Arabidopsis thaliana: one gene and its partners. The protein of the gene in region 2 interacts with the protein of the main gene of each other region in a pairwise test. Each region holds a gene or a part of one and is shown on either strand. Other genes may lie near its edges.

Region 1 (8,420 bases), on a different chromosome or scaffold from region 2:
AATAGATCATCATATAGTTAAATGATTATTTCAAGATTTTTTTTTACCTTTTTGAAAGAAACAAAACTCATGATCTCTTCATATTACATTTCTTGATAAACTTTTGTAATAGAGATCAAAAGAAACTCCGGAAACAAAAGAAAAAAAAATTACACAAAACAAGAAATATAAATAAATGAAATTTCAAACTTCAAGGGAGAAAATAGGCCTAGGTAGTCCAGTTGTTGCACCACCTTGGAACATCTTCTTCAACGCTCTCACGCCATTATGAGAATGCTTTCGAATTCCGCCAAATCTAACGGCGGATACTACACTCCGGCGTAGCTTAGCCAACCTCTTTCCGATCTTGACCTTCAACAGATAAAGCTTCAGCCGTATAAACGACGAATGAGGATCACGCCGAGAAATCAAGTCGGCTTCTTGAAGTGTTTTGTAAATCAAGAACTTGGCTCGTCGGCTAAGTACCTCTTCTGGATCTTCCTTGTCCATCTTTGAGTAAAGACATGGCCTCTTGAATAGGGTCATTTTCGTCTTTTTGTGTTTTCCCGGCGACGACTTTTGGAAGAGAAGGTAGTGTGATCAGAGAGAGATGAGGAGAGGAGTTGAAATGACCAAGTATTTGTAGTCATTGCATTGAGCAGTGCTGGTGCACTAACTTGTAGCTTGTATACGTGTTTCTTATTTTCTTTTTCTCAAGTTATGTAATTTCTTATTAGAAACTAAACTTTTTGGCCAAAAAAAAAGAGAGGACAATTAAACTTAATTATAAGTCAAATCATTAAGATAATATATAAGATAGTATGAATTTTCCAGCTAACAATCTTATAGTTAATGCCTGTATATAAAAATCATTGTTCATATTTAATTATGCAAAATGAGGTCATATAGTTTATATATTTGTAAGATAACATCTTAGACTGTAAACATTTAAATTTAAGAGCTTGCCGTCCAAATATCTTAATTTATTTGTTTGCAAAAATGAGGTCATATATATATAGTACTTACATGTATAAGATAACATTTACTACTTTAGCATTTTAATTTACGAGTTTGCAGCCCAAAAATACATATGTGGAATTTGGTTTTAACCTTTGTGTCCATGTCGGAAAAACCATTAATCAATAGTTTTGTTGAGTTCTTAATTTTTTGATAGATTTCTTATAATTAATGAATAATGATTTCAATTAATGGACATAATTTAGGAATATTACTGATCTAGCAGGGGAAAAATCGCTGACTTTTCTTTTTATTGTAATGAAAGAATTCTAATTTCCTCGGTTATGAAAAAGCTATAAGTCTATAACGTTATGAACTTGAGAAAATAATAATATTGTTTCGGAGCCAACAATTTTTGGTCTCAGATATAAGACAACGATTTGCAAGATCTACTAAATTAATCAAGATTCTCCTTATTATGTGTCCTTTGGTTAGGACAACGGGTCAAGACAATTATTTTAAATATATTTTTCAAAGCTTGGAGCTGTTGATATGAGTCCATACATACATGACTCCAAGATTCATAGTATGTAAAATGTTCAACTTGAGATTTGAGAGACGTATACCACACTGCCTCTACATAGACCTCTAAAGACTCCAACTGTTCTAAAGCTGGAGCCTAGTTGTGCTCAAGATCTCTGGTGATTATCATTCATCGACCACTCTTTTAACATTCAAAAATAAACACATAACCCTAAAATATAATCAACGCTTACGTTCTTTCAAAAGGTGATGAAAACATTAAAAACAGAAGCATCGCAGAAACATTATTAAGAGTTAAAAACTCAACACACACCTAGAGAAAAGCAAAGACAAATAAACTGTGTTTGGGAAAATATTCATAACAAGGCACGCAGAAACAAGTTCATAACAAAGTACGCAAACAACAAGCAGAGTGACATTAACTCAAGCAATACTCTCGGGGTTAGTAGCTAAACCCGACTTGTTGCTGCTGTGGTGGCTGTTGTGGTGGTTGCTGTCCTGCCTGTGGTGTCTGCTGGTAACCACCGCTGTATCCTCCACCAGAGTAGCCTCCGTAATATGCATTAGGGTCTTGAGGCATCGTGTACCCATACTGCTCCTGTCCTTGTCCATACCCACCGTAGTAAAACTGGCTCGGATCCCCCGACTGGAAACCAATATCAAAAAAGCATTTCAGATTATAAAAAGCTACTTGAACTCAACTATTTTAAGCGATTCTGCTATCATCTAAAACAATAGCCTGGACTACATAGTTCTTAGAACAAAAGCCGATACACGGTGAGAGAAGCTGCGATAGTTCTTAGACAAAAGGCGATACACTGTGAGCTGTTTCTTTCTATCATCTAATGTCAATGTAAAGATTATCAATTACCTGTTTGTTCGAAGGACTTCGGCCCCATGAGAGCCTGACGGTTGTTCCGCCTAATTGCACTCCATTCAGCATTCTAAGAGCTTCCTCTGCACAGCTCCTGAAAAGTGAGGGTTGGTCACAAAACACATGATAAAAAAAACTATTAGAATTCTATTCCAAAGACTATTTTAGGGTTAAATGAAAGACAGAGCTTCCAGTAGTAGCAGCAGACTTACTTCTCGGAAAACTGAACGAATCCACAGCGCTTTCCAGCGGGTATTTTCACATGCACAATCTCACCATATTGGCTAAAGACATTCTTCAGATGATCATCCGTGACAGATGCATCTAATCCACCAACAAAAACCTGTACAGTAAATTAAAATGCGTCAGATATAACCGCTTTGGAAGATAACCGAGAGGGACAAATATATAATAGGAGCTTAAGACCCACAGTTGTGTTATTTGGATCATTATCAGTTGTTACCCCTGCAGCAGAGCTCTGGTATGAATCTGCATTTACACGAAAAAACACAGGTATAATGGAAGTAGTAAGTCACTGTAAATTACACATGCAACAAAGTGATTGGAAAACTATGAGGGAGCCTTTTGCAGCCTCATCTAGATATTCACATCAAAATGAAAGCAAATGCAAAGAAGGCATTCACACATATACAACACACCGCCCAAACTCCAAAAGGAGAATAGTATTCAAAGAAGGCATCAGTGATGTTAACATCAATCATAAACTATACGTATAGGATCATTCCATCAACAAGCATTGAGAAAGGATCTGAGGAGCTGCAACCGCAAGAAAACGAGCAAGTAGAGAGCAACAATTACATTTGCATCACATTTCACCCAAGGTTTTTGACTACTCAAGGGTAGATAAAGGTGGTAAACTAAATGAAATGCCTATAGAGAGGAATATAGAGGATTATAAAGGTCAATACTGAAAAAATTAGAAACAATGTATAGACTATTTCTCTGGCCACTCCAGAAACTGTCACATCTGACCAAATCTCATAACTTAAGGATAGAACTTCTATCATCTAGACTCACAAAAACAGTAAAAAAGAGCTTGATGTACTAAAGATATAAGTAAATCAAGTGAAAGATAAGAACTTTAAGTAGAGCGGAATGAAATAGAAAAGTAATTACATAAGAATCGACTTATAAAAGTAAGTAACTGACCAAGAACTGGAATAAAGGTTTGTATAGAAAAGATAAATGGAAATTAAAGTAGGGCTGAATCGAAGGAAAGGGCTAATAAAGGACAACACATGAACTTTAAAACTGACCTAAGCATGGGCACTCAATAAGGAGATAACCATTTCAGCTGAATATCAGTTCCAGGCCTCAAGATGATAGAGAGCCTCTTGACTCCCCTGCTTTGAAACAAACAGGATACAACAAGTGTTCTATAAGATTTCTATCTTTTTAAGTTTTTTAACAGAATTGACTGCGGCCTCAGCGGTAAATGTAGGATGCGGCTTTAGAAAAAGTAATGGAGTCATACTTAGCACAAGGCAGTTAACTAGTTCTTACTTAAGGCAACCTAATCACATAGATACTACAACACACAAATCAAGAGAATGCAAGATCAAATCAGTTCTAATGTGACATATACTTTACTTTACCTCTTTGACCAGTTACACCTTTCTTGCTAGCAGCGGGACCAATTCTCATAGGTCTAGTAGAACAAGGAACGCCATTCATCTCCGTCATAGCACGGATCTGTTCACTTTCATCAGAAAACCTAACAAACCCATATCCTTTTGTACGTCCAGTGACTCTGTCAATAACAACCTTTGCACCCTTCACTGACGGATAAGAGGCTCTGAACGTCTCAAGTAAGATATAATCCGTAACATCAGCAGCCAGATCACCGACAAATATCGTGTAGTCCGGTGAATCGTCTCGTTTATCTCCTGAACTCAATGATGCCCAGTTCAGTCTAAAGAGCTGATCAGGAAAGCTCGGGATAGGAGCGTTGTTGAATGTTTGTAGAACTCTTTCAGCAGCAGCATGAGATGCGAATTCAATGAAACCGTATCCTTCAACTTGACCGGTTTGCTTGTTACGAATCACTTTAGCAGAAACCATCTGCAAAATAAATACTGATAGTGTTAAACCAACTAGTCATTATATAACTAGACAGAACACTCATTAACTCATTGTCGGAAAGAGATTACATATTAAAAAAAATTCAAACATCTAAAGTTAATCTTTTTACACATCAAAATCAAATCTTTCAAATATAAAAGCGAGGAAACAATTAACACTAACAAGTACTTATCAAATTAACCTTAATCTCCTTCGAACAAACAATTAAGCGCGAACGATAAAGCGAAAACAGAGAGATCTGAGAATATTACCTCTCCGGTATGAGCAAAGCAACCGTAGAGGAAATTCTCATCCATCCAATACTGTAAGTCCCCGATCCAAAGAGTCCGGATCTCGTCAGCGGTCGTAGGCTGAACTGATGGCGGCGCCGCCGCTTGAGGATTCCACATCTGTGGTGGTGGTGGAGCAGCTCCAGCAATCCCGTAAGGTTGTTGGTAACCGTACTGTTGTTGCGCAGAAGGAGGAGGAGCGTGATGTGGAAGGATACCTCCGGGTGGTGGCTGCTGCATCATGATGATCGGAGAATAAGATAGAGAGAAAGAACTCTTTTGAATCTCTGACCGTAGAAAAATTGTGATGAAGAAGAAGATAACAAAACAATGCTAAAGATGAGAGATTGTTGATAACCCTTTGAGAAGGCGGCGGTTTGTAATAAAACGATATGTGTTTTACTATATAAATATCCTTTGGTGCTTGTAATCACAAGGGATCCGTGGCGCAATGGTAGCGCGTCTGACTCCAGATCAGAAGGTTGCGTGTTCGATTCACGTCGGGTTCAAACCCCCGGTTTAAACATGATCCTTAACTTTTTATTTAACTTTTTAAAAAATATCCTAGATTCAATCGGAACCGTCCAAGTTGCTGACTAGTCATAAAATCAACGGATGATATGAATTATGTATATGATTTAAGTAAACCATTGAAATTAAAAATTTTATTTTGTCAAACCCCTAAACCGGTTTAAACCTCTTCTCTCTCAGCCGTCGTCTCCATTTCTTCGGGGAAATCATGAACCCTAGTAATGGCGTTCCTCTTCCGCATTCGAACATCGGAATTTATACTCCAGAAAGCGACTCAATTCCGATTGAAGTCTTCTTCTTCATCTATCTTCACACTAAAATCTCTCACTAGCAAGCAGAAGAAGAGCCGAGATACTCTCTCCCTTCTCAAATCCGAGAATAATCCTGATCGAATCCTCGAAATCTGCCGATCCACTTCACTCTCACCTGATTATCACGTCGACCGTATCATCTTCTCCGTTGCGGTGGTGACACTAGCGAGAGAGAAACACTTCGTCGCTGTATCGCAGCTTCTCGACGGTTTCATCCAAAACCAACCCGATCCAAAATCCGAGAGTTTCGCAGTCCGTGCCATTATCCTATACGGCAGAGCGAATATGCTTGATCGATCTATACAAACATTTCGCAACCTCGAGCAATACGAGATCCCAAGGACGGTGAAGTCTCTAAATGCTCTTCTTTTCGCTTGTTTAATGGCTAAGGATTACAAAGAAGCGAATCGTGTCTACCTCGAAATGCCGAAGATGTATGGCATTGAACCTGATCTCGAAACTTACAATAGAATGATTAGAGTCTTGTGTGAATCAGGTTCAACGAGTTCATCATACTCCATTGTTGCAGAGATGGAGAGGAAATGGATAAAGCCAACAGCTGCTAGCTTTGGTTTAATGATTGATGGTTTTTACAAGGAGGAGAAGTTTGATGAAGTGAGGAAAGTGATGAGAATGATGGATGAATTTGGTGTTCATGTTGGTGTAGCTACATACAACATTATGATTCAATGTTTGTGTAAAAGGAAGAAATCTGCAGAAGCAAAGGCGTTGATTGATGGGGTTATGTCTTGTAGGATGAGACCAAACTCTGTGACGTATTCGCTTTTGATTCATGGGTTTTGCAGTGAGGAGAATTTGGATGAAGCTATGAATTTGTTTGAGGTTATGGTGTGTAATGGATACAAGCCTGATAGTGAATGTTACTTCACTTTGATACATTGTTTGTGTAAAGGAGGGGACTTTGAGACAGCTTTGATCCTTTGTAGAGAGAGTATGGAGAAGAATTGGGTTCCGAGTTTTAGTGTCATGAAGTGGCTTGTTAATGGACTAGCAAGTCGTTCAAAGGTCGATGAAGCAAAGGAGCTCATTGCGGTAGTTAAAGAGAAGTTTACCAGAAATGTGGACTTGTGGAATGAAGTCGAAGCTGCATTGCCTTTGCCTCAGTGAACAAAGGTACACATAGAAGAAGTCATTCATCTTCGATTTGACATGAGGATTTGAAGTTTTTGAGATTGGTTAGTTTAGCTGAAATCATCTGTCAAAATTGAAATGAAAGGGGATATAGTTTGAAGAGAATCTTGTCGTTGAGATTAAGAAGCTATCTCTCTAAGGATTGGTGCTGGTGAATTATCAATTTTCTTACTGAATTTTTTTGAACATGTTGTATATAAATGGAATGTAACATTTTTCAATATATCGGAAACGATGAGCCTAATCGCTTCATGGCCTTGCTGATGAATTGAATCTCGAATGTCTTTTGTTGGCATGGGACCATGTTAGCTTCATGAAAATGTCCATCAGGTTAAGCTTATGTAAGACCAAAACTCTTCATTATAATGATATTTACATTCTTCTCCAAAACAAAAAAATAAAAGCATCATATCTAGCCATTCCAAATACTGGAACCAGCTTCTTCTTCTACCTATACCCACCTCTGAAAAGCCCGGAAGCCAAAGCAAGCTAGGAACATAACAGCAACCACCGAGTGTACGACCCATATCAGTGTTGTATTCAACTTTTTGGCAATCTTGCTTATATCCCTCAATGTAGATGCTAATATACCCGCTTTCGATAAATACCACAAGCTTACCATTCTTCTCATTGAAGAAACTTAAATATCTACAACCATATATCGGAAGCCGATCTGTTATAGCAACTGCCACCAGCCAGCTCCAATGCAGCTTCTTCTTCTTCTTCTTCACCCATAAGTGTATGTTACTTGTTAAGCCGCATTCAAGTAACAAAGAGAGTTGATCTCTTCTGAAAATCCCTAAAGAAAGATTATTCATCAAATAAGATAACTCACTCGAAAGATAAAAAGGAGGACGAACCAAGGGCTCAAATCTCTCTTTTGAGAAATCAAAACTCTGTACTGAAACGGGTTTATGATTTGACTTATTGTAAGCTATCCAATAAGGAGTTCCTTGTAAACACACACTCGACTATGGTTATCAATATAAACCATTAGAGGTCTTATCAACAGCCGTCTTCCAAGAATCAGATTTGAATGAGTAAACTTCAACCGTTGAACTTAAATCAGATTCAAACTCATAAAATGTAATTCCTATCTGTTTCTTGAATTTGAAAGTAAAAAAAAAACATAAAATATCCAAAGATAGAAACTGAGAAATCCTTAAAAGAAAAACCGAAAATGTTCCAAACAATGGAGCCAGCTTCTTTGTTCTTATTCTCATCTCGAAAAGCCTGGAATCTGAAGCAAGCTCTGAATATAGCAGCAATCACTGAGCATGGGACCAAGACCAGTGAAGTATTCAAATCTTTTGAATTCTTGATTCTCTCCCCCAATGTAGATGCTAATATTCCTGCTTTTGATCAATAATGCAAGCCTACCATTTCTCTCAATGAAGGAACTGAAATATTTTCCATATATCGCATCTTGAGGTACATCAACTGTCATCAGCCTGCTCCAATGCTGCTTCTTCATCACCCATAAGTGTAACTTACATGTTTCGTGGCATTCAAGTAACAAAGAAAGTTGATCTCCTCTGAAAATCCCTAAAGAGATATACTTTACCAAATTACGTGACCCAATGGATTGAGGAGGAAGAAACAAGGGCTCAAATCTCTCTTTTGAGAAATCGAAACTCTGTATCGACATGAGTTCATTACCAGATTTATTGTAACCTAGCCAATAAGGAGTTCCTCGCAAAC
Region 2 (7,070 bases):
ATTTGGACAAACAGCAACTTCTCAACAGAGGCTATCCGAGATAGTGATAAGTTATTTAGCCGTAGACATACAAGATTGTTCATATCCCTATATCGCAAAAGGTGTCTTGACAAAGATTCACTGCTTGAAGTCACCTGCATGAACATTCTCTTTATGAGTAGTAGGCATGATGAAACAGAATTAAGGAAAAAATCTAGAATCGAACAATCAACTTTATACTGTAGACGAGAATCGGGGAAAATCATAACTCCGATGAAAATTTTAATAGCAAAAGTTTAACATAAGATTCACAGCAACAAGGAAGACTAAGTACCTTGTGGAGAAAAGCTTTGCTGTGCTCATCCTTGTAGTACTGGTAGTGTGAAGAATCCAGCGCCATCAAATCGTTATACAGCTGAAGGATTTCTTCATAGTGAACACCCTTGACAGCATCATCCGATACCATAGCTTCACGAGCCATCAAAAGCCTTGCAAGAGTGAGCTTTCCAATTTTGCTATAAAGGAAAAAATAACACAACGTTTAAGACTACAATTTCTCTTTCCAATCAAAGAGAGAAAGTATATAGGATATATACCTGTCAGGCAGTATACCGAAACATTCAACCTCAGAATCTATAGCTTCCTGACGCCATTTAAAATCCATCTCAGCATTTAACCGATCCAAGGTGACAAGAGAATTCAAATCCTTTGACTTCGCATCCCAAATATCAAATCCATCCGTCCATGAAACAATGCCTTCTTGAGAATCTTCGACGGTATCATGAACATGGGCTGTAAAGACAAACTCATAAGGTGCGTTGAAGTTATATCCTCTGGAAGAAACGATTCCTGGAGAGTTCCCAACTCTGATCTTCACTTTGTATTCGCAAGGATCTGAACTGACATATTTCAGACGAGCAACCCATACACAGGACACCTGAGAATTTTTGTTCGGAATTGGTTCCCAAACAAGGCCCTCGTTTCCTTTTAGTTCAGAATCAATTGTAACAGTAGATGAGCTTACTCCACCAACAGCTTGGTCAAAGTAGAGAATCAGTGGAAAAGAACCCGACTCAGAACAAAAAGTAGTGAACATAGATGAAGAGCCACTCAAGCACCCAGCTCCAGACAGAATGATACTTGAACCATGTGAAGGCCATGAGGAAGTGAGAAGAGGAGTCTCCACATTAAGAGTTTGGTCAAGAAGCCAAAGATGATAAAACCAGCCACTTTGGTCATCTGGTTCCGTAAAAATAGCCGAATGTACAAAGTCATATTCCTCAGGAATCTTTATATTTGGCATAAACCCATCAGCATTTTGTGCCAACAAACTTGATAGAAGTACACTGCAGAATGTGAACAAAAATATATAGTAAAGAATATGCATACCTACGATTATGCTAAAAAACTATTTCTGAACATGTAAATCAGTAAAGTATAATATATACTAAAGAATATGCATACCTACGATTATGCCATGCAGAATAGTTGCTGAAATTGTTATTGATCATATCATCTGTATACTGCAACTCATCCTGTTCTGATCTGTTGGTTAGCTCTACAACAAACCTGGAAAGGAACAACACATTAATATGCAAGCTTGATTAACATACACAATGCTCCTTTCAAAAAGTGTTGACATTCCCTAATTTTCACCTGCGATAGTTCCAAGCATGAAAATTTCTGGAATCCAGCTTCTGGAATTTTTCCAAAAGTCTCAATTCATTCCCTACGGATGAATGCCCTTTACTCAAAACCCACTTTCGATGATGCCAAGCACCATAGGACTTGAAATTCTGCCTCAAAGCACTTTCTACCTGAATTTAGAACCGACTTCACAGTAACTAATAAGCAACTACTTTCATAAAGAGCAAATTCGTTTCTTTTAATTGACAGGATAACTCACCACTCTGAGTTCTTCATCAAGAATTGCGCTGACCAAGTTTGGATCAGGCTCAATTCTGGCAAGGCGATCCTCCACAGCAAGCTTCCGGTAGTTCCATGCGGTGTACGCCTCCGGATTGATTTCTAGAAGCTTCGTGCTTAACTCAATAGCTTCATTGGTATAACTAGAAACCAAAAAAGCAACAAATGATTAGTAAATAAACAAAGGATCCTTCAAATCGTACTAAAAATCTGGGAAGTACACTGATCCGATGGAAATGAAGGAGAAGATTGTACATTTTATCGTGATGATTCGTCATAAACTGAGACTGGAGAGAGCGAAGCTGAACAGCTTTAGCAGCTGAAGCTGCTTCCTCTTCTGGCTTAGAAGCATTCCTTGGACGACCGTGCATTCTTCTCCGACGACTGTGAGAGATGCGACAGTGTGATTCAACTTTTCCGGTTAAATCTGATCAGAAATTACGAAAACAGTTAAAACAAACACTAGATCGAGGAAAGAAAAAACGTGATCCAAATCTAGAAACAACAGAGATGACGAAATGGAGAATAAGAAGCAGATCACCTGAAAGGAGCACGTTGCGGCGTCGATCGAGAGAGAGAGACTTTTGTTTTCGGGCAATTGAGCGACTGAGAGAAGGTTCTATCGGAAAATTTAATGGGCCGGTTTAATGATTTCAATCGCTTAAACCAGTAAACCGGGTTTAATTGAAAAATACGGTCGAACACTAACCCGGTTTTGGAAGTCTTCGTTTATGTAGTGAAAGGCTTCGTCATCATCGTTGTTTCACAGTTGAAGGTTTTCACGAGAAAGTGAAGATTTTTGGAGAAACCATACTTTTGTGAAGGTTCGTTTCACCTTCAATTTCGTTTTTCCAATTTGGGTATCCGATAATTGTAAGAATTTGGGGTTTTAAGGTCAGATTGATTATGTATCTAATGCTTTTACATTGTAGTAGCTCGTGTTTTGGATTTTGAAGGATTGATTTCTAAATTTCCTTTTGATCTTGTAGTTGAATCACAATGGAAGATTCAGAGAAAAGAAAACAGATGTTAAAAGCAATGCGAATGGAAGCTGCAGCGCAGAATGATGATGATGCTACTACAGGTACTGAAACATCTATGAGCACAGGTCACCTCTCCAATCCATTGGCAGAGACATCCAATCACCAGCAGGATTCATTTGAAACGCAAAGGTTTGATTATTATACCGATCCCATGGCTGCTTATTCTAGTTTCAAGAAAAACAAGACCCCTAAGCAACAATACATCTCATCTCCTAGTCATCAAGGAAGCTCTCCTGTACCACCTCAGTTTCCACCATCAGTTCCTCCAGGTGCTTGTTTCTGCCTTGATAGTCAATGACTCTGTCTTAATTTTTGTTTTGTCTATATTCTTGTGAGGCCAAAGAAAGTAGTCCACTGATAAAGAAGATTGCCTAATATCATGAGAGTTTAACTTACAGTATGTTAGTTGGTCCTTGGTGAGTATAGGTATAGGATTGAACAGAATCAGGAATTCACTTTGGTATTTGGTTGTTGGGCTTTCGTAGAGTTAGGTGATGATTCTCTTCTACAAATCTATATGAAATTTTTGTTCTTTGTTTGGGTTTAGTCATGTGTTCTTGATTATAATCTACAAATCAAGATCAATGGAGGAAGAAATTTGTCTCTCAGTCTCAGGCTTCAAACTTATTAGCTTTAGCTACTTTAATTTGATATATCTCTTTAAGTTTCACTTTCTAGGAATTGACAGTATGAAAATCACATCAATTATGGAATTCAGTTAGGTTTGTGTCCTGTGCCTTGCAATGAACAGTAATCCAGTTCTGATCCTTGCATTATAACTTTGAACAGGATCATTATGTAGTGAGTATCAGGCACAGACCAATCATGGTGGCTTTCATGCAGCTCATTATGAACCAAGAGGGATGGCACATCTTTCACCCTCACACAGAGGTCCACCCGCCGGTTGGAATAACAACTTTAGGCCTCCACCAGTTAACCATTCAGGTCCACCTCAATGGGTACCTCGCCCTTTTCCATTCTCTCAAGAAATGCCGAACATGGGGAATAATAGATTTGGTGGTCGAGGCAGCTACAACAATACTCCTCCACAGTTTTCCAATTATGGACGACAAAATGCAAACTGGGGTGGAAACACGTATCCTAACTCAGGAAGAGGCAGAAGTCGAGGACGCGGTATGAACACAAGCTTTGGGAGAGATGGAGGAAGAAGACCCATGGAACCAGGGGCAGAACGATTTTACTCCAACTCTATGGCTGAAGATCCATGGAAGCATCTTAAGCCAGTCTTATGGAAGAATTGCTCAGATGCTTCGAGCAGCAGCTCAACAGGTCAAGCCTGGCTTCCCAAGTCTATAGCACCAAAAAAATCTGTGACCTCAGAAGCTACCCACAAAACTAGCAGTAATCAGCAGAGCCTTGCTGAGTACCTTGCTGCTTCTCTAGATGGTGCTACATGCGATGAGTCAAGCAATTAATCAGGACAACTGGCCTAGTGAAAATACACCAAGTCCAAGCATCTGAGGTACCTGGAAAGATCACCGTTGACTCTTTCGAACTAGGTATTGTTCAGTGACTTGTGTTTATTTTCTTAACAAGACACAACAGCGAATGATGAACATCTCTGAGGGCGCAATTAGGAGTAGATTGGTTGGCAATAGGGATGTTCTCTACCAAAAATTTTACTGTTTTTTCGCAAGATTTAGTTATCGTACAATTATGTAAAATCATTATCAGGAAATTTGTTGCATGATTGTGTTTGAGGTGGAAATGAACCGCATCCGTATTAAGATCATTTTTGCTGGTGGAAACAATGTTACCAGGAAACTGAACTTGGTTTTTTATAGATTAATGTGACTTGTTAGGTACCGTAATATAATACTAGTTGGCTACGACACGTACATGTGCGTTTATTGCTTGAAGCCAATAAGGACAAGGTGGACGTAATAAAGTGTGCTTGTTGTTGGATGGATCTGAATATGATGACTCAACTGTCCAACTCTAATGTTGTTGCTAAAGACCCAAATCCCACCCACATTTAATGTTGCCGTCACGGAAACAGTTTTCCCAACTGTCCTAAATCAGTGATACCCATGCCTATTCTGAACTCAACTCTCTTTCGAAACTCAATCCTTATATAACACATCCCATTTAAGCCTATAAGCTACACATATCAGCTCTCTCACAAAAATAAAATGGAGGGAAGCCCAGTGACCAGTGTCAGGCTCTCTTCGGTGGTGCCTGCTTCTGTGGTAGGTGAGAACAAGCCACGACAGCTCACACCCATGGACTTAGCCATGAAGCTCCACTACGTCCGAGCCGTCTACTTCTTCAAGGGTGCACGTGACTTCACTGTCGCCGACGTGAAGAACACCATGTTTACTCTACAGTCTCTACTCCAATCTTATCACCACGTCTCAGGTCGGATCCGGATGTCCGACAACGACAACGACACTTCAGCTGCAGCCATACCTTACATTCGCTGCAACGACAGTGGCATACGCGTGGTCGAGGCCAACGTCGAAGAGTTCACAGTGGAGAAGTGGCTCGAGTTGGACGACCGTTCCATTGACCACCGATTCCTTGTCTACGATCACGTTCTTGGTCCTGATCTTACCTTCTCGCCACTCGTTTTCCTCCAGGTAAACACACATACACAAATTTTAGTATAATATAATGGATTATTTAAGTTCACATGCAACGAAAACGGCTGATTCTCCCACGAACTTAGTTTCTTTCTTAGTTACTAACTATCAAACATTCGTTTCAAATTCTTTCCAATCATTAGCTTAATTAATAATTATGAAATGAATATTTAATATAACCGTGGAACTTGAAGAGAAAATATTTTTTACATGTGAAATTGATTCTTCACTATATATGATCAGGTTAGATTCTGTGTGTGTGTGTGTGTGTGTTTTTTTTTTGTCCAAATCAGGCTAGCTAGAGTAAACTAAATTTTTTACTTTGAAATTCGTTTTTCAGATAACTCAGTTTAAATGTGGTGGGCTCTGTATTGGGTTGAGTTGGGCCCATATTCTTGGAGACGTGTTTTCAGCATCAACGTTCATGAAAACACTTGGACAGCTGGTATCGGGTCATGCCCCAACAAAACCGGTTTACCCGAAAACCCCCGAACTAACCTCTCATGCTCGTAATGATGGTGAAGCTATTTCCATTGAAAAGATAGATTCGGTTGGCGAGTATTGGTTACTTACCAATAAATGCAAGATGGGGAGACACATTTTTAATTTTAGCCTCAACCACATTGATAGCTTGATGGCCAAGTACACCACGCGAGACCAACCTTTCTCGGAGGTTGATATTTTGTATGCATTGATATGGAAGTCGCTACTGAATATCCGCGGCGAAACAAACACGAATGTTATAACAATTTGTGACCGTAAAAAGTCTTCAACCTGTTGGAACGAGGACTTGGTAATAAGCGTAGTGGAAAAGAATGACGAAATGGTTGGGATATCCGAACTAGCTGCACTGATTGCTGGTGAAAAAAGAGAAGAAAACGGTGCGATCAAGAGGATGATAGAACAAGATAAAGGCTCTTCGGATTTTTTCACGTACGGTGCAAATTTAACGTTTGTGAATCTTGATGAAATAGATATGTATGAACTTGAGATCAACGGAGGGAAGCCGGATTTCGTAAACTACACGATTCATGGGGTCGGAGACAAAGGTGTTGTTTTGGTTTTTCCCAAGCAAAACTTTGCAAGGATTGTAAGTGTAGTGATGCCTGAAGAAGACCTTGCAAAACTCAAGGAGGAGGTGACTAATATGATTATATAACTTTGTATCTTCTTCTTGTTGTTATACATAAATGCTGTTTTTTACTCTTTGTAATTTCATTATCGAATTGTTGGGAAGCCTATCAATAAATTGTTTGAACTGTTTACTTTTCCTGTCGCTTTATTATTGCGTCACACCATCCAAAGTTTACAATGTGGACTCTTCTATTTTCTACTCCGTAAAATCAACTTTAGAGCTATCAAGATTGGATCATTTGCATGGGATTTGGAGTGAAAAGATAAATTGTTCTTGTTTGGTGTCACTGATTCACAATGATGATCCACTATCGACAGTAGAAAGCATGATGATGAAATCTTGGGTATCTTCTCTCAATTTTATCACTCTCACAGATTTATTTTG
Region 3 (6,392 bases), on a different chromosome or scaffold from region 2:
GAATTATACTGTACCAGAAAATAAGTTTTCATCAAATACATATGCATATGCTCCATCCATGTCAATTGTGTGCTTTGCATAAAGATAGAAATTATTAGGAAGAATGTGGAAATGTGAAACAAAAGAAAGAAGGGCTAAGAAAAAAAGGGCTTAGAAAGATGAACATGCTTTGCTTTTTTATGTGGGTTAAAGATAAATTTTAAAACTTTTATAAAAGTTACCGCAATTTTTCCCAAAATTTAAGAATTTATTAGCGTTGTGTAAGGGTGTTTTTGAAATGGATAAAAAGTTATCTTTGCTATTGCTTTTGTTATAAAAATTGACTTTAACAGTAAGAATATATTTGTTTATTTAACAAGTGATGTACACTTTACTTAGATTGGTCATCGACAAGTCTCTCTCATTTGCTCATTAAAAGAAACACTAATAAGTTATGATTAAAGCTATACATATACTTGCACTGTTGCACACATCTATCCTTACCATTGTAATTAGATGTGTCTTATATTATTCTCCGCCAACACTGAATTTTAAGTAGTGCTTAGTTTGACACTAATTGTAATTTGATGATTGCTTATGGATCTTTAGGTGATTATGAAACCGTGCATTTAGCTAAATCATATGAACAGAATTACCTACTATGTTAGTTAATGAGAATAAACATATGATTTAGGAATTATGCTATATATTTGATAATTAGAAGAAGATTACTAAGCTGGTTGTATTTTATCGTCTACAATTCACAACCTAATTTATGCATTTTGAAATACTATTATTATATATTCATATCTAAATCGAATCTAATAATTGATAGTTTTGAAATTCAAAGTGGGAAGACGTTCACTATGATGCATGCATGATAATCATACCTAAGACGTACTTTCACTTCACTAAAACCAAAGAAGAATCAAATGATGAATTGACTTCAAAGTGGGGGAAAAACGAAAGATTCTTTAGTAAAAAGCCAATTAGTGCAACCCTTTAACGAAAAAATAAAAGCTAAGCAATGGATTATAGTAGCAGACATTAAAGACTGGTTGTCTTTTTTTTTTTTGACCCGTTGATGATAATCTTAACTACACTTCCATGAGTTCAGTAAATTGGAATCCTATGCAAAATGCAACGTGTGTGTGGACACGTACCAACGTACGCTTGCTCTATTTTAGAGTCTCAATCGTACGTGGCAGTATAGAACGAGCGATAAAAACAAAAATATATTGAGTAGTAGATCAAGCAAAAAAAATGTAGTTAGTGTTTTGACCAAAAAAAGTGTAGTTCTAATTAGTACTGCGAGACGGAACAAACAGTACAAAAATAAGCAGGATCAAAAGTTGAATGGTAAATATGAAAAATGCGTTACTGATTTTTTTCTTTCTTACTTACATTTTGAAAACAAATTTTTAAGTATACCACCCATTACAAACAATTAAGGAAACGGTCATCGATCAGTTGCAATATTGTTGTTTATGACAAAACTTCATTGCAAAAATCTTCTTATGGGTTTTGTTCGACTGCTCGAATGTATGTGCGAAAAGATGGCCTTGAATACGCAATTTAATATATAGTGAAATCCGTATTTGTATTTAATTAAAATTAATTTTGCAACTTAATGTTACCAAGAAAATAAATTAGAATTCTAAACTAATTAATGATATATAACATAATTAATATTTTCTGATAACTATTCTCATTTTAGAGTGGAACTCATACATTTTCATTCGATTTGGTGGTAAGCTCATTATCACCAAGCCACATCATAATATGAATGCTCATGCATATTTTTTTTTGAGGCATTGGACAAAAGGTTTCGTTGTGGTCCATGCATCTACCCATTTCAAACGGTTACTAGAGTTTGTGTTTGGTTTAACGTAAAACTACATTCCTACTACAAATTATATAACAAAATTTTAATTGCATATATAATAACATTTGCATGCAATTTGGATTTGCGGCCACAGAAGAAGTTCTCAACAGCTCTCAGCCTCTCGTACGTTCAACAACTCAAGTGTTTCAAACTTAGATGAGAATCGTGATTGCGGAATCAGAAGGAAACAACTTTATCAGAAATAAGAATACATTCAAACAAACTTACATACTAGCTAGGAGACCGATATCAGAACAAAATGCTTCGGAAAACTCTCGACATGCTTACATTCTAACATAGGTCTGACTACTACGAGATATAAAACGAGTCAAATCTAAGAAATTAAACAAATCAAGAGATTAAGGGCGGTCGGTATCTTGCTTCGATTCTTCACCTTTCTGCTCTCCTCTAATGCTTCCAGAGTACTAAAAAAAATAATCAAAAAGATACGTACGTTAACGTTAAAGTACTATCGTTAGTGTATTTCACACTACTATTTAAACTTTTACGATATAATAAAGTTGTAAATGTTAACAAATTCTATCATCCAAATATATATGTCGAACTGTTTCTGATCAGAAGTTAAGACTATTGTTGAAACGAAAAGTACTTGGAAATGATGAAGAAGGTAGGAGGACTAAATGACTAATAGGGTGGTTCGGTGGCAAGTTCCTTTGGTGCGTTACACCTGAAACACTCTGACCTGCTTGCGAAGTTATGTTCGTTACAGCCTGACCTATAATATACAAATTAAACCAATCAGTTTCTACGATATGCATATACATTAATACAATTTAAACGGTCGTGTTTAGCTTACGTAAGCCAGCATGCATGTTTCTTTTTTGGCTTTAAGTTTTAACCATCAAAACATATTATTGCAAAAAAATAACATCAATACATAGAAACAATCAAACAAAAAAGTACCTTGGGCAAATCCAATCTCCAGATTTCCAAGGAGAACGGCCCGTACCACCACCACCACTACTGCTGCCGCCAAAACCAAAAAGGCCACGTCTCGGACCAACATTCATGTCCATAAACCCGGTTGTTGCAGCAGCACTTGAGCATGAAAACTCATCTTTTGCGGCACCACACTTGAAACAACTGGACCTATTGGCAAAATTATGTGTCCCACAATCCCCAAGGTTGCAATACCAATCCCCGGGTCGCACATCGGGCCCGGTGTTGAAACCGAAGGAGCTACTAACCGGACGGCCACCAAAACCGCTGAGTAAATCGGTACTGATCCCGCCCGGTCTAGGCTCTCTACAACGTTGGCATGAATCCCTCCTCTGGAAGTTGAGGTGGCTACACAATCTGCAGTTCCAATCTCCCGGCCTATTCATCTTCTTCTACAACACCATAGAAAATAATAATTAAGTAACAAATTACACAAAACTAAAGACATATGTATCTACAAATGTAACTTATATATATGTTATGATTACCTGAGGGTAATGGAAACGAAAAAGAGAGTTGAAATGAGTGTAAGAGCTTATGAAGGTGTTGTTGTACTCTCACAATATATTTATATGGACAAAGCAAAAGGCCCTTCCTTTAACAACCGGGAACATTTTTTGAAGTGAAATTAGGGTTTCAATTGGTTTTTACTTTCTTATTTTGCTACAGCTTTAATGCATTTCCCTTTAACATTTGGGTTTCTCCGTAAACTACGTTATTCCCAAAAGAAACAAATTTATCTATTTATATATATCGAGGACTTTAAATTAATTTATCATTTCTAGACCCCACTATTTTAAACAAAAAAAAGAAACACAAGGTTAAAGCTTTAGATATCAGCCGTTTTCATTTTGCGTCAGCTTCACAAAAGCTAATACTGGCAAATTCAATACCATTTACTTGACAGATGTATATATCTCCATATTTATCAACGTACGTACTTATTTTAAGACACCTAAATATTTTAAAATTAATCAAGACGTATTCTAATAGATTATTATAGTGCCAAATTATAATCCGAGTTTAAATTCGGAAGTGTGCATGCATGGGTTGTAAACGAACTTTTAATTTAAATTGAAAGATCAAAACAAAAATATGGGAGGAAAGTAATTTTAAAACACTAGTCCTAAATTCAAAGAGAAGTATTTACAAAAGAACCAAAATCTTACTGGTTGTTTATACAAGATAACAAACTAAAAAGTTTACCAGATTACATACCAAGATGACTAAAAAATATCTCTTTAATTAACTCTTGCTTTTAAAATGGTGGTGTGGAAATATAGATATGTAAACCTATATCTTTGGGGGCACGAAGGAGAGTGAATCCTATTTTATTGGTCTCGAGGTTTTATAACACTTGAATTGATAATGAATAAGAAGAACTAAACTAGAGATACTAGAAATCTCCGACTATATGGTAATATGGGTATATTAATATAGTTTTCTTGGACTTACTATATAATTTTTGACTAACATGTGGTTTCTCTATGAGACAAAATGAAATTTTCACTAAATTTCACAAACTAAACTAAAGCAAAGCAAAGAAAAGAAAAAAAGAAAAAAAAGATTCTTAGACCTTATTGGGACCCCAGTTCGTATATGCTTATAGATTTCTTGTTAACTGTATATGCACATATAGATTGACTAACGATGAGACAACTAAAGCTGATATATTCTCATTATCTATTTCGAGCATGTACCACTTTCATATTATCAATCGCAACTTCGTGGTATAACTTTTTATGTAGATAATTAATAATCACATGTATCTATATATTGATGGTCGATGGAGGAGGTACATGGATGTATAATATGCTCTTGTGTGTGTCAGGAGAAAAAGGATGTAGCATGAAGTAAAAAACTCTCTAAACTGTTAAAGCAAAAGTTGCATGGCAACAGTTTCAAGGAACGTATATGTTCCCTTAGCCGCGGAAAATTATAAACGTCAAAGGAATAACTTCTCTTTTCTTTAATTCAATTAGTCTTGTTACTAATATTCAAGTACATCCATCAGAACTTATTCGTTCGTGATTTTCAAAACAAAGACTTAAGAAAATCATGAAAAATTATAGATTAAAACAAAAACAAGAATCATTAAATGGGAGGGAAAAGGCTTTGAGGTTCGTATCTTGACCATCTACGTGTCCTTTTGATTCGTCTACTACAACTACAAGACAGTTTCATTCACTTTTTCTATTTAACCCTATGATTTTTATTTCCCTTACTATATATCCCACATACAAATTATAAATTGTCGTTTGTGGGTACACTGCAATCGCTTTTTTTACCGTCAAATCACCCTTTCCATTGTGGTATACTTGTCTCTCTAAAGTAAGAGTCAGCTATAAGATAATAAGACGAAAAATCCACAGTAAGATGTAACAGAAGAATGCCACGAATGACTAAAAGTTATATAACATATGAATTTATTTAACTTTCGAGATATATATAGGGCAGTAGAATACACCAGCAGTAAAAATATACTTAAATAAATGAAGAACAATATCTTCTAATATTTTTTCAATGTAAAATGTAAGATAATGTAGTGCATATATATTCCCATATATACATCCCAGCTCTAATTTTCATGCACTCCACCCCCATACAAGTGTTTTGTAATATTCATAAACTTTAAGGTTCCAACTCTAACCTTAAAGTTGAGATGCTACCATTACAATGTATAGGAATTAAAATATAGGTTATGGGGATTAAATATTATACGCATTATATCTATCCAACTCAGTCCATGGCTCCGAGCGTAATGCCTTATCCATAAGTCGCCGTAAAAGCTAACTAACTCGACGTCTCGACATTGAAGAAAAAAGAATGGGTAACTTAAAAAGAATATATAAAAATAATGGGAAGAATTATAGAAGAATCAAAATAATTAATAAACCCACCATATTGTCTCGGGGAATGGTAAAGAAAAACTGACGAACACAAAAGAAAAGAGAGAATCTATTCGATTATCTTTGGGAAATGCTTCCATGCATCATCACTTATCTCCCCCTTCTCCAAAGTTCTAGATGTCATATGATTTCCCCACGTCTTTTATTTAGGATGATACAATTATCTATGCATTTGATCATTCGCAAGGACGATTAGCTGAATTCAATTGTATGTTAAGAAAATAAATTACAGGACTAAGTTGAAGATGTAGCTGCTGCTGATGAAAGTGTTGAATGATACAAGAAGTAATACATGATTTTATCTGATAAAATTGCTGAATGATTCAAGAAATAATTCAGGATGCGACAGTTTTGTGTGAGTATCGGTTTCTAGAAGATTTGAGAAGAGCGTGTTTAGAGGATGAATCAAAAAAGAAAAAGGACTTAAAGAGATTTGGAAGACTTGATGAAAGTGGAGTTTGATGAGAAAAAGGATAAGAGTAAATTTACTTTTTCTTATGGAAAAAGGAAATCTTCTCCTATGGTGATTAGGAAATCGTTTTGGCTACATAAGGAGGAGGTAGGACGTCTTGGAGAGGCAGGAGAGCTGAGACATAAAGACAAATCATTGAGAGCTTTCTAAGGGTGTGTGCGACATAGTTTCACGGTTTTATGCGACA

The links.
Region 1: the proteins of SIC (region 2) and RBP45B interact in a two-hybrid assay, tested with the Arabidopsis thaliana proteins (one large-scale study listed by BioGRID).
Region 3: the proteins of SIC (region 2) and AT5G25490 interact in a two-hybrid assay, tested with the Arabidopsis thaliana proteins (one large-scale study listed by BioGRID).

Annotation. Positions count from the first base shown.
Region 1 is NC_003070.9:3,911,443-3,919,862, reverse strand, and holds RBP45B (RNA-binding (RRM/RBD/RNP motifs) family protein), read right to left. Parts: upstream 5,090-8,420; 5' UTR 4,969-5,089; coding exon 4,708-4,968; intron 4,436-4,707; coding exon 3,970-4,435; intron 2,843-3,969; coding exon 2,784-2,842; intron 2,697-2,783; coding exon 2,566-2,696; coding exon of another isoform or gene 2,562-2,565; intron 2,448-2,561; coding exon 2,351-2,447; intron 2,126-2,350; coding exon 1,922-2,125; 3' UTR 1,620-1,921; downstream 1-1,619. Other genes in the region: AT1G11655 (uncharacterized protein), read right to left, coding at 184-525; AT1G11630 (Tetratricopeptide repeat (TPR)-like superfamily protein), read left to right, coding at 5,478-6,695; AT1G11620 (F-box and associated interaction domains-containing protein), read right to left, coding at 7,939-8,420. UniProt on the Arabidopsis thaliana protein: Heterogeneous nuclear ribonucleoprotein (hnRNP)-protein binding the poly(A) tail of mRNA and probably involved in some steps of pre-mRNA maturation.
Region 2 is NC_003075.7:12,655,828-12,662,897, forward strand, and holds SIC (hydroxyproline-rich glycoprotein family protein), read left to right. Parts: upstream 1-2,605; 5' UTR 2,606-2,729; exon of another isoform or gene 2,730-2,799; intron 2,800-2,894; 5' UTR 2,895-2,904; coding exon 2,905-3,217; intron 3,218-3,737; coding exon 3,738-4,384; 3' UTR 4,385-4,840; downstream 4,841-7,070. Other genes in the region: RGTA1 (RAB geranylgeranyl transferase alpha subunit 1), read right to left, coding at 1-134, 314-494, 576-1,325, 1,444-1,548, 1,636-1,796, 1,886-2,048, 2,161-2,276; CER2 (HXXXD-type acyl-transferase family protein), read left to right, coding at 5,102-5,548, 5,892-6,710. UniProt on the Arabidopsis thaliana protein: Involved in miRNAs and siRNAs biogenesis and thus promotes gene silencing. Modulates auxin (IAA) transport-related developmental programs by regulating protein phosphatase 2A (PP2As)-driven auxin efflux carrier PIN proteins recycling and polarity.
Region 3 is NC_003076.8:8,873,457-8,879,848, reverse strand, and holds AT5G25490 (Ran BP2/NZF zinc finger-like superfamily protein), read right to left. Parts: upstream 3,529-6,392; 5' UTR 3,313-3,528; intron 3,217-3,312; 5' UTR 3,211-3,216; coding exon 2,789-3,210; intron 2,601-2,788; coding exon 2,510-2,600; 3' UTR 2,475-2,509; exon of another isoform or gene 2,290-2,474; 3' UTR 1,945-2,289; downstream 1-1,944.